3 linked regions of the Styela clava genome follow. The protein of the gene in region 1 purifies or fractionates together with the protein of each later gene. This does not show direct contact. Links are inferred from orthologs where the notes say so. Each region holds a gene or a part of one and is shown on either strand. Other genes may lie near its edges. The genes, in order: vesicle transport protein SEC20-like, NBAS subunit of NRZ tethering complex-like and RAD50-interacting protein 1-like.

Region 1 (3,456 bases):
AAATTTATACAAAGAATATGGAGCATCAAGTTCCAAAGGGATGCCTCCTCGTTTAGGCTTATGGGAAGAACACACTAACGGCATAGGCTCGAAACTTATGCAGAAAATGGGATATCAATTAGGTGAAGGCTTGGGTAAAAGCAGTCAAGGCCGTTTAGAACCTGTTCCAATTGTCATGCTTCCAGTTGGTAAATCGCTCGACCATTGCATGGAAGTAAGACTTAAAAAGGGTGTAAAACACATTGGCGATACAAACCAAAATACACAAGGAAGTGAAAAAGTACTTAGGAGAAAAAAACGTGACAGATGTGTTTTTTCATTCCTCAACAAGACTTTAGGTGTCAGTGAAGCTAAAAAAGACTCTAAAAAGCAAATTGAAATGCCTAAAGATATGTTTGGAATAAAGGCTGGTACTGAACAAAAAAATGTAAAAAATTTCAATAAACAAATGATGAAAAATGAAGATGACATGAAAAAAATTAAAGCAAAAGTTCTCAAAGTAAAAGAATCATTACGAAGGAACCAATCTAATCCTTCAGTCGTCAAATCTTTGACTGAAAAACTCGACAAACTAAAGGAAGATTTGACAAACATGAAAGAACTGGAATCTAATATTAAAATTCATAAGTCAAGAATGGAAACTCATAGAAAAATGACAAGTTTTTGATTGGTGTGCAATACTTAAAAAGAAGATAACAACATAATTAAGAATTCCATGTAGTGTTAATACTATGAAGTTGTAGTTTCTATAAAATGTTTATTTTGGGATTTCTTATCATAGCGCACTAAAGTAAAATTGTTTTCACACTGTAGCAAGCAGAGCTTGTTTGAAATCAACGTGACTCCAGGTTTGGAGCCAGAGTATGTTCAAACAGCAGCTAGAGCTCCAGTTTTTACCTCTGAGCTGGGCTGAAATTTCACGGCAGTGGGTCTCAAAATCATGATGCTGAGAATGATAGATTTCATTATTTATTGGAGTGTGATATAAAAAAAATTATAAAAGGTAAATAATATGTAAACATTCAAGAACTGGGGACTCACTGAAAATTTCTAGTAGCTTCAGCTCCAGCTGGTATGGGGAACTTAGCGCCAGCTTCAACAAAACGTCATAACTGCAGGCTCTTATTTCACTAGATAATTAAAGCGTTTGGCTTGATTGCTCTCAGGTGATGACCCAAGAGTTTTTTAGCAATAAGTCACAATTCAAAAAAGTGCTCAAAAAGTGTTTTTCATTCGACTATTCATTTGAACTAAATTACATCGTCATTAATAAATCCTTGATTTAGAAAAAGTGATGTTGATTGATTATTTAATTTTCGTAAATATTTTGATCAATGCCTGATAATCAAGAATCAATTTTCATTATTTGATACTGACTCATATTTGCTAGCTATCACACTGTGACTCTGTTTTATTTGATTTTTTTGTTTTTGTATTTTCTCAATATCAAGAATAAGTTCAATATTTGTTTAGCGTTATTTGAGAATATAGGGCGATGAATGCACAAAGCTGGGTGCGTAAGTTATCTCTGGAGAAGAAGAAAGTTCCAGAAAATGCTGATTTGAAAGAAAAGATTGTTACAATGGATTGCTCTGCTAAAGCTGCGATTCAGGATGTCTGGAGATGTGATGGCACAATAGAAAACTTACAGACAATTCATGAAAATGCTCGTAGAAAAATTAATGAGCTTCGTGCTGCTATTCAAGATTTTGAAACAGCTGCACAGGAAGCTGATGATGTGAAACAAAAATTAGAAATGGAAGAGTCGGTCAAATTTTTTAAGGAACAAATTCAGAACACAAATTCTACGTTGCGCAAAGCATATTTGACTAAAAAGATTGCTCTCGATGAGGAGTCGAAAATGTTACTTCTTGGTGGTGCTAAAAACTCAGAAGTTCGTCGTCGTCAAGCATCTGCTGCAAATCAAGAAAACCTTGCACGAACTGCGAACGATGTAACACAAAGTCTGTTGAGCATAAGTCGGGTCATGAGTGGCAGCGTGCAACAGAGTGCTGACTCATTGAATACGTTAGTCAGGTCGTCTGGTTCTTTAAAACAGACCGATGAAGAATTGAAAGACCAGTCTGGCGTTATCCAGACCAGTCATAGGTTATTGACTAAATATAATAGGCGAGAATGCACTGATAAATTTTTAATATTTCTTGCATTGGCTTTCTTTTTCAGTACAGTGCTATATATTTTGAAAAAGCGTTTGTGGCCTGTGTAATAATTAACCCTATAAAATTTTACTAATAAAGAATGATATTGTTGTTAAATTCAAATATATTTAATTTATTAGAAATCATTATACTTAGTATTAGTAACAGTTATTCTAGATATCAGTGCTTCGTTTTCTAGAATTTCATTTATCGCTGTCTGGATATTTTCCTGACTGTGTTTAACTTGATTTATTCTGTTGTAGGTTAAAATTGGTTAATAATGTGCAATAATCCGTCAGAATCTTTGATATAATTTTTTTGTGGTATTGAGTATTAATACTGATCTAAAAATAATTCGGCAACAAATGTTCTAGGTTGATGTCACTGATGCACGAACAATGCAGGGTGAAAAAAAGATTCTACATGTTCATGTTAAGGAATATTATAAATTCAATTTAATAGTTCAGTACTCCAACCTAATTCTAGCTGATGACATAAATTTCTGGCGAATTAAAAAAAGATTTCAGTGGTTCAGCACTTAGGACTTGACAGTTACTGTTTATTTCGGAATTATGTATAATCTATTCAATGTTTATACAATATTGGTGTTGTCATGTGTATCTTTGTCTGTCATCTGTAAAATTTTGGTATTGGTTGTTGTCGGATAATGTGGGAAAAAGAAATAGGTTTTGACACAGAAATTTGATCCCTAATTGGATGAAATTTAGTTGTGCAGGGATTGAATATTTTATTTTGCCATATATTGTCTGTGTTTACAGTTCTTAAAATAAAGTTTTAGTTTTTAATATTTACCTGTAGGAATATTGAAAGGCGCTCAAATAAAATGAAGCTCCTTATTGTGGCTTTGGTTATTGGACTCAGCCAATGCTTTGGAGAAAATAATTCGTTACCTGGTGGAATTATGGAATTGGACACAAATGGTTTTCCACCAGAATTTGGTCGGGCATATAAAAAAGCAAAGATCCCATTCATTTTTATTAATGCTGATAAAGTTACACATCAGGTATTGATACTGTTGTAATTGTAATTAGTTAGTCCTATTTGCCTAGTATATTATGTTGTAATATTCATTAACAAATATTCTAGACATCAAACATCATTTCTATTGTGCTATTTTGTTCAGTATTGAAGGACTAATGTTTATGATGGTTAACCAATAGGCTTAACTAATAATGTGCCAAAATCAGATGGGTAATTTTAATATATGTAACCAATCACAGTTTGTGAATATCTCGCTAGGTTGTGCATGGAAATTACAACTAATATTTATGTGATA
Region 2 (3,839 bases), on another chromosome or scaffold:
AGAAAGTGTCTTTGGAAAATTTGACAAAATAGGAAGACGATGTTCTCGTAATTCATCTCCATGAAATGTTAGCAATATATCAACTGATTTCCAATCGCATGAACGAGCATATTCTAAAGCAGAAGTTAACATGTCCTGTTGTCTAAAGATTGCAAATCTTTCCCTGTTGTAACGTTCTCTTGCTGCATCGTAGCCGCCCAGTAGACTTTCATATGTAGAAAGTCTGTCAAAGTATTTCAGAATCTTTTTTCTTGTTCTAATAGTTTCTTTTTGTTCAAGTGATAAATTATCAAAATCAAAATTTTTCGACCATTTTTTAACAAATTTTTCTCTTTGTCGTATTTCTTGTTGTCGTTGTTCCTCAACATCAAATCCTTCATATTCTTCATAATCTGATTCCGAATCTGAGGAAGTTGATGATGATTTAGATTCAGTGTGTTTCACCTCTCCAATTTTATCAATATCTGTAACTGTCAGTGCAAACTTTAAAAGCTCTCTAGCAGCATCTAGTTCGTCAGGTACTCTTTCACAACACTCGTGCATGACCCATGATCGTTTTGTGACTTTGCTTAAATAGTCCTGAATAGATGCAACTGAAACAGGTGATTTTCTCCATTGCCTTTGGAACACTTTGTCACTATCTAAGTTATATCTACGTGCCAGAGCTAGTGCTTCACCATATTCTTCATCATCCAATTTTTTTTCAAAAAGTTTCTCAGGTGTTGTTTTTGTCAAAGTTAACAGTCTATATGACTTTGTAACAAGTTTGGGCCGCTTTCTTGGAGGTCTAAAATATTCAATTTCAGTTAAATCATACATGGTTGATTTAGTGTAGTTTTTCAAACGGCCTGCTATACCTGGATGATCTTCTTTGTCACTGTCATCCAAAAATGGGTCATATTCCTCATCTTCCTCCTTTTGTGCTTCTTCTACCGAATCCATACGTTGTCGCTTCAATGTTTTAACTTGAGGTTGGCATTCTAACGCAAGGAAACCCTCATCTCTGCAGAATGATATTCTCGGAGCTGGCTCCAACCACTCGCATTGTTCACCAAAAAGGTTATCAAGAGACAAACCAGAAACACGTACAACTGTCAATGAACCAGAACAACGTGCTAAAATAACACTGGAGTCGTTCCACCACTGACAGTCAATAATGTTTTGTAATAAAGGATATTCCTTGAACTTTTTAGCAGAATTTATAGATTTCACAGCATCCGGATCCAGGCTATCAAAAAATGGTTGATCTTCTTTGTTCCAACATCTTTTGTGTCTGAGAGAAGGGATATCCCAGATGGAAAGACTACCGGATATTTGAATTGTAGCCAGAAATTTACAACATGGTGATAATGACATCGTATATATTCCATCAAAAAACTGTTTTCGCAATTTTTTACCCAAACCTACTGGAACAGTGGACAGCCTCCTCAGAAAACTCTGATTTCGTTTAGCATCATCAACATCTGAAAAAACATTCAGAGCTTTGAGAAAAGGTTCTTCTGACAGAAGCCGCCATGCTGTTAATCCAATCCTAGTCGCTCTCGGTACATCATCATCGCTCGTGGCATAACCAGCACATCCACCAACAATAATCATACTGTGGTCCTGATTATAAAGAACACCACTCACTCCATTAGAATAACTAGGTGAAAAATCAAATTCATACGTCATTTGATAACCTCTTTCATAAATGCTGTTTATTTCAAGACAAGTCGCCATTCCACTGTAAGACACGACCAATAAATGCAAACTGTCATCTTTATGTTTGTGTGTCACTTCATGTCCAATGAAAGTCAAACTACAAATGGCTGAACTATAATCATAAGCTTTTTTGTCATCATTCATGTGACCTTGATAAGTGAGTAAAAGTATTCCTTTGAGGTCACACACATAAACGGTACCATCGCTGTCAGAAAAAGCAATTGTTGTAGAATGTAGACTCCAAGAAATTTTTCGCCATTGAGGAAAAAGGTCTTTTGTAAAATTGCAACGCCCGACTAGCACACTGTAGTCATCTTTGGATGAGAGAACTTCCAAACATCCATCTTGCAATACTGCAATAAAATTACCATCAGGTGATCTAGCAAACATCCATGATTCTTGGCTGTTTATTAACTTGATCAAGTCTGGTGGCAAAATACATGATGCTCCTGATCTTACTGGAATACCAACAGCCCGGACAGTTGCCCATGTCCACCTTGATATTGAAGACTGAATCCGTTTGGCATTGTTGTAAATGACATTTGATTGAATTTCATCTTGTTGTGAACCTCCTGGAATATTATAAATTTTTATAATTACAAACATATTCAAGCAGCCAAATACAATTACGATTAATGACTGGTTTTAAAATTAAAATCGATTTTCACAGAATTAAAAAAAAATCTCTATAAACTGAAATATTACCACTGAGTTGTGGTCTTGTGGAGTCTGAAAATTCGCATTAAACTGCAAGCTGACTTAGGCTACTGAATAAAATATTGGGTCTGTCTGTTTGAAAATATATTTTCAACTTTAATATTAATAAAAGCTGTCAAATTCAGAGAATACACAGCTTCGTCATCGCCATGTATCAAATATGCTCACTTGCATAAAACTTTTTTTATATATGGATTTTTTTTTATATATGGACCAAGCAATAAATATCTCACCGACAACTTCCTTTTGTTCGGGCCATTCCACTTGATATGACAAGTCATATAATATTGCATCTTCTTCCAATGAATTGTCAGCTTGATTGCTAATATTCATTATATTTATGTATATAAATATATACTAAAAATAAGAATAATATATAAAACTGATCTTAACAAGAAATAAACTCAATAATTCATGGATGCATAATAAATTTGCATGTTACAAATTTCAAGTTATCTCCCGAAAGATATGTTATTAAACATTCAAAAAATAATTGAAGCATTTTTTTCGAAAAGGCTGACTCTCTATAGCTAACTTCTGGTAATTTAAATTGCACAACAGACTTTGAAAACAGATTGGGGAGTGACAAAAATGAAAAACAAAGTCATTAATTTTTATTCAAATTAGGAACTACGAGATAAATAGGTACTCCCAAAGTATGTGAACCAAGATGGAGGACACCGGAACGTAGTATGTGTACCAGGTTAGGCCATAATTTCAGGTACAAATACTACGAGTCACTTGGCTAGTCTCCGAACTCGTAATAGAACTAAAATAAGGAAAATTGGAATACAATTAGGGCCTAACCTTAACGTGGTACACATACTATGTTCAGAGTATTTTGGTTCACATACTTCGGGAGTTCGAATAAATAATACAAGCATATAGAGCTACAGCCGTTTTATTCAATATATGTTTCATTAATTGAATAAATCATAGCTTGTTTTGAGTATGCTTTTCACATCCACTATTGTGTTTTGTGTATGAAACATCTATCAACTCAATTACCCTAATTGTAACAATTTCAATCATATCAAAAGTATGCAATGCTGCCTCAAGTGTTCGCTTTTGCTCCTTGTATGGTAAAGTAGGTAATGGGGTTCCATTAACAAGAAATTCAGTTTTATTATCATCAGGACGTTTAGAACTCCGATCATACTTCTTTAGTTCATTTTCATAATGAGCTCGAGATAGGTCAATAGCATTCCTCAAAGGTTTTAGAAACTCTGTATCTAATTTATCCAAATGATCAAGTATTCCTGTTTTGTTCGTCTTATCTCTGATAAGAAGGAAACGAAACAAATTCAATGCAGGCATGAGTCTGTCACAGTCTTCAAGTAAATCAGTCTCTGTTCCTTGAGGTAATAAAAATATCAGCTCTCCTAGAGTAGACATTTTATGAGCTTCACAAAAAATTAAAG
Region 3 (3,600 bases), about 6.5 Mb from region 1:
TCTGATTCAAGCGATAAAAATATCACATTTTACAAAGAATCAATTAAAAAATAAGTTGGCATTGGGGATTTTATTTGAGTGGGATATTCCATAGAAGAAATTTTCAATGACACTTTCAGAGAGGAAATTTACTAGGTGAATTTTTCTAAGGTGGAATTTCTGTAAGTATCGATTTGAGTGAAATTAACACACTGCACACTTATCCCACAAACAGAAAACCAAACTTATTAAACACCCTTTTTATCATTTTAAATTCACAGTCCTTTAAACAACTTTCTGCAAGCATTTTTGTTACTGTTCTAGTCTACCTCAATTATCATAACAATAATAACTGATACTTACAAAGCCAATTTGTCCTTCAAAAATTTATGCCAGAATAGAATTGTATCGGAAGTAAATTTCATTAGACTTTCACATTTTGAATGTTGTGTTGTGAGTATCTGGTTAACCTTTATCAACTTGGTAAAAGCTTGACTACCACCACTCAAATTGTCGCTCGAAATGCATCTCTGTATTTCTTCACTAAATAAGAAATGCATAAACTTGAAGAGTGGGCATTATGAACGATTGGCTTTGATTTTTAATTCTAGGGTCTGAAAAATCGTGATGGATGCATTCTTCAGCAATATATATAACAATAGCTAGTTTTCATAATGATATTTTCCATTCTGAAAATAATTCTTTATCAAATCATATTGGAACGCCCGATTATATTTACAGCGATTGCGAGCTTTTTTTGAAAGTTTGCCCGACATTTTGTCTTGAAAAACTAACAAATAAATATTTTGTTCAAAAGTATCTAAACCTTGCACAGTGTACGGGATAGCCTGTTTGTGATTACTGGAAACAATGAAATCAGTTTACTGAAATGTAGGCTAAACATTGTATGGTAAAACACTATGACATCATAATAAAAAGTTCAACAGCTACGATGACATCAATTCAACTACTTCAAGCACTTCAGTCTTACAATTTCCAGTCATTAAATAATTTTCAATGAAAAATATATAAATATATTATAGCCAAATGTGACTGTTAACATATTGGAAGCAATATATAATCTAACAAGTACGAATAAATATAGTTAGATTCATAAGTTGCCAAAGTTAACATTGTCTGCAATCTATGACAAACCTCAATTCTTCCACATGTTTCAACCATTGTAAATAAACAACAAATTTTTCTATTTCCTTCACTTGAAAAACCATTCCTCCAAGATCATCATTTATGGGCTGGCATTCTTCCATAGCTTGATTAATTTTTTTAACAAGAACATCTTTTTGTGCGATGAGAGTTTCACCTTGTGTTAAACTTTCATCAGAAAGTCGGATTGCACTTTCAATTTTTGTTGGAACTTCAGTTCTAATAACAGACAGCTATAAATAAAAGAACAATTTCTTAGTATTGGTACAGTAATACGTTTATTCCGAGATATAGTCAACAAAGGTGTCAAGACAGAATGTCTGAAAAGCAAAAAAACTAAAACGCCAGCGACGCAAAGGGGGGGACAAATTATATATGTGAATAAAACATGGAGACCACCCTTGTGCTAAAATGCACATGCGAATTATGATGCATAATGCATATTATTGCTCCTATCTTGTATAAAAAAACATTTTCTGGCATATGAGAGTTAAACAGGTACAATACCACCATAAAATAGTTCACTCAAACTAGCCTTCTGTAACATATGAAATTTTTCATATGAATTGTTTGGTCTTGTAACTGTGACCTAAACAAACATAATAGAACTCAATTACATTATGATGGTCATCTTCAACAAGGGAGTGGAAGATTATCATATTATTACCATGGGGAGCCAATTGAATATAAAGTCGTAAATGCTCAGATTGGAGGGAGGGGGGGATTAAAAAATCAAATGCCTGAAACAAGCAATCAAAATTTCAAAATTATCGACTTAAACTGACGTTTATTTTCCAGAATTAATAGCAAGTTGAGGTTCAATTTAAAGTGACCTTGATAAAATGAGATGTAATTTTTCTATAATCGCTATAATTAAAACCAAGTCAGTGTCGCATAAGGATCAAATTAATAATCATTGTTTCATTTTTGATGACCTTAATTTTGTATATATGTATATATCAAAATTCTGTACAATAATATATCAAAACCTGGTGTTCAATATCACGTTGTCTTCCAAGCAGTTGATTGTATATTTCCCTTGCATTTGCTAAATCATCAATCCTTGTTACTTGACCAAAATTTGTGTCAAGAAATTCCTTAACAATCCCCTGATGACGATTCATCATACAGCTTTCACAGACAAGGGTCAAAAATGAGACACAAAATCTCAAATATAGGCTATTACTATTCTATACCATTTCTTTGATTTAAGATAATCTGTGATGAAAGGTCAATTTGCATAAATTATGTATACCCATCTATGTTGTATATGACAATTGGTCACCTCAAATATTGTATATAGAAGTGCAAACTAAAGATCATAAATACTACCAAGGACTGAATTTTAGTTGATCAGGAATAAAATTTTTACCACCGTGTCCATAACTAATTTAATTTATGGGTATTGAGAAAGATTTTGCTATGTCTAACCAAGAGTAATGCCCTAAAAATATACAAAAACCTGGTTAGGAGTCAGGACATATTCGACACCTCAAAACCAAACGTGCTAAGTCCACTTTTCCAAAAAATGACATTTTTCAATTGCTGATTTTCCTGGACTTAGCTCTACATTTTGGTCTATTTGCCTTATCTCTAGGTGCTCTAGATCTCAAGACAGCTATGGACATAACCCTGCTTTTTTTAGGGCATTTGAGAACTAAACAGAGCTGTGTCTACTATAGTGGACTTAACTCTGGATAACTGCATTGTAAGTTGGGGCTAAGTCCGTTTTTTTCCCTCTATAATAACATAATAAAGGGGCCCTTAGTCCAATAAAATTGTTTCTGGTCCAGAAAATTGAGAGCCAAAAAGGGTTAAGTCCAAAAAAAAACCCCCAACACAAATTTTTTTATACCATCCAAATATGGCCTTCATTGTAACTTTGGTGGACCATAAAAACTAGACATCCTCGATGTAAGGTATTAGAGAAATAAAAAAAAGAAACAAAAAACTAGAAAAATGAACTTAGCCCAATTTGGATTTCATGCGTCGAATTATAAGGTAAGTAATAATTTCCTATAAAAATTTTGAAAATTGTAACAGGACTTTATAAACACCTCATATACTATTTAATAATGAATGTCACACACAAAGATAGGCTATAACATGAATTGTAAATTTTTTTTGTTCGATGATACAAATCAAACTGGTTTGTTAACATTTGCGATTTCCTCAAATTTGAAAATAGTTGCTTGATTGTACCAAACTCAGAAATAGACCAAAAAGTGTTTTACAGGAATACAAATAAAAACAACAATTACAATTTTATTACCTAACTCTCTAAAAACAAATTCGTAAATTTTTCAAAAGTTATAGAATAGTAGTATGTAAAGTAATTAATGTAAATAAATAATAATAATGGAAAAAACAATAATGCAGAGAACAAGAAATGAAACTGAAATCTTTAGAATGTCACAAGCAAACAAAATCACCAATACCATATCGGTAAACAAAAAA

Evidence for each region.
Region 2: the proteins of vesicle transport protein SEC20-like (region 1) and NBAS subunit of NRZ tethering complex-like purify together in Homo sapiens (co-immunoprecipitation; 3 studies listed by BioGRID and IntAct, with this or other methods). This does not show direct contact. The link is inferred for Styela clava from reciprocal best matches to the Homo sapiens genes BNIP1 and NBAS.
Region 3: the proteins of vesicle transport protein SEC20-like (region 1) and RAD50-interacting protein 1-like purify together in Homo sapiens (co-immunoprecipitation; 3 studies listed by BioGRID and IntAct, counting the BioPlex papers as one, with this or other methods). This does not show direct contact. The link is inferred for Styela clava from reciprocal best matches to the Homo sapiens genes BNIP1 and RINT1.

Annotation. Positions count from the first base shown.
Region 1 is NC_135250.1:16,235,073-16,238,528, reverse strand, and holds vesicle transport protein SEC20-like, read left to right. Parts: upstream 1-1,495; coding exon 1,496-2,227; 3' UTR 2,228-2,938; downstream 2,939-3,456. Other genes in the region: zinc finger CCCH-type with G patch domain-containing protein-like, read left to right, coding at 1-667; cathepsin L-like, read left to right, coding at 3,004-3,183. UniProt on the Homo sapiens protein: As part of a SNARE complex may be involved in endoplasmic reticulum membranes fusion and be required for the maintenance of endoplasmic reticulum organization. Also plays a role in apoptosis.
Region 2 is NC_135260.1:20,997,982-21,001,820, forward strand, and holds the start of NBAS subunit of NRZ tethering complex-like, read right to left. Parts: upstream 2,787-3,839; 5' UTR 2,752-2,786; coding exon 2,652-2,751; intron 2,274-2,651; coding exon 1-2,273. Other genes in the region: glomulin-like, read right to left, coding at 3,352-3,839. UniProt on the Homo sapiens protein: Involved in Golgi-to-endoplasmic reticulum (ER) retrograde transport; the function is proposed to depend on its association in the NRZ complex which is believed to play a role in SNARE assembly at the ER. Required for normal embryonic development.
Region 3 is NC_135250.1:9,705,847-9,709,446, reverse strand, and holds the start of RAD50-interacting protein 1-like, read right to left. Parts: upstream 2,359-3,600; 5' UTR 2,271-2,358; coding exon 2,133-2,270; intron 1,377-2,132; coding exon 1,135-1,376; intron 523-1,134; coding exon 343-522; intron 1-342. UniProt on the Homo sapiens protein: Involved in regulation of membrane traffic between the Golgi and the endoplasmic reticulum (ER); the function is proposed to depend on its association in the NRZ complex which is believed to play a role in SNARE assembly at the ER.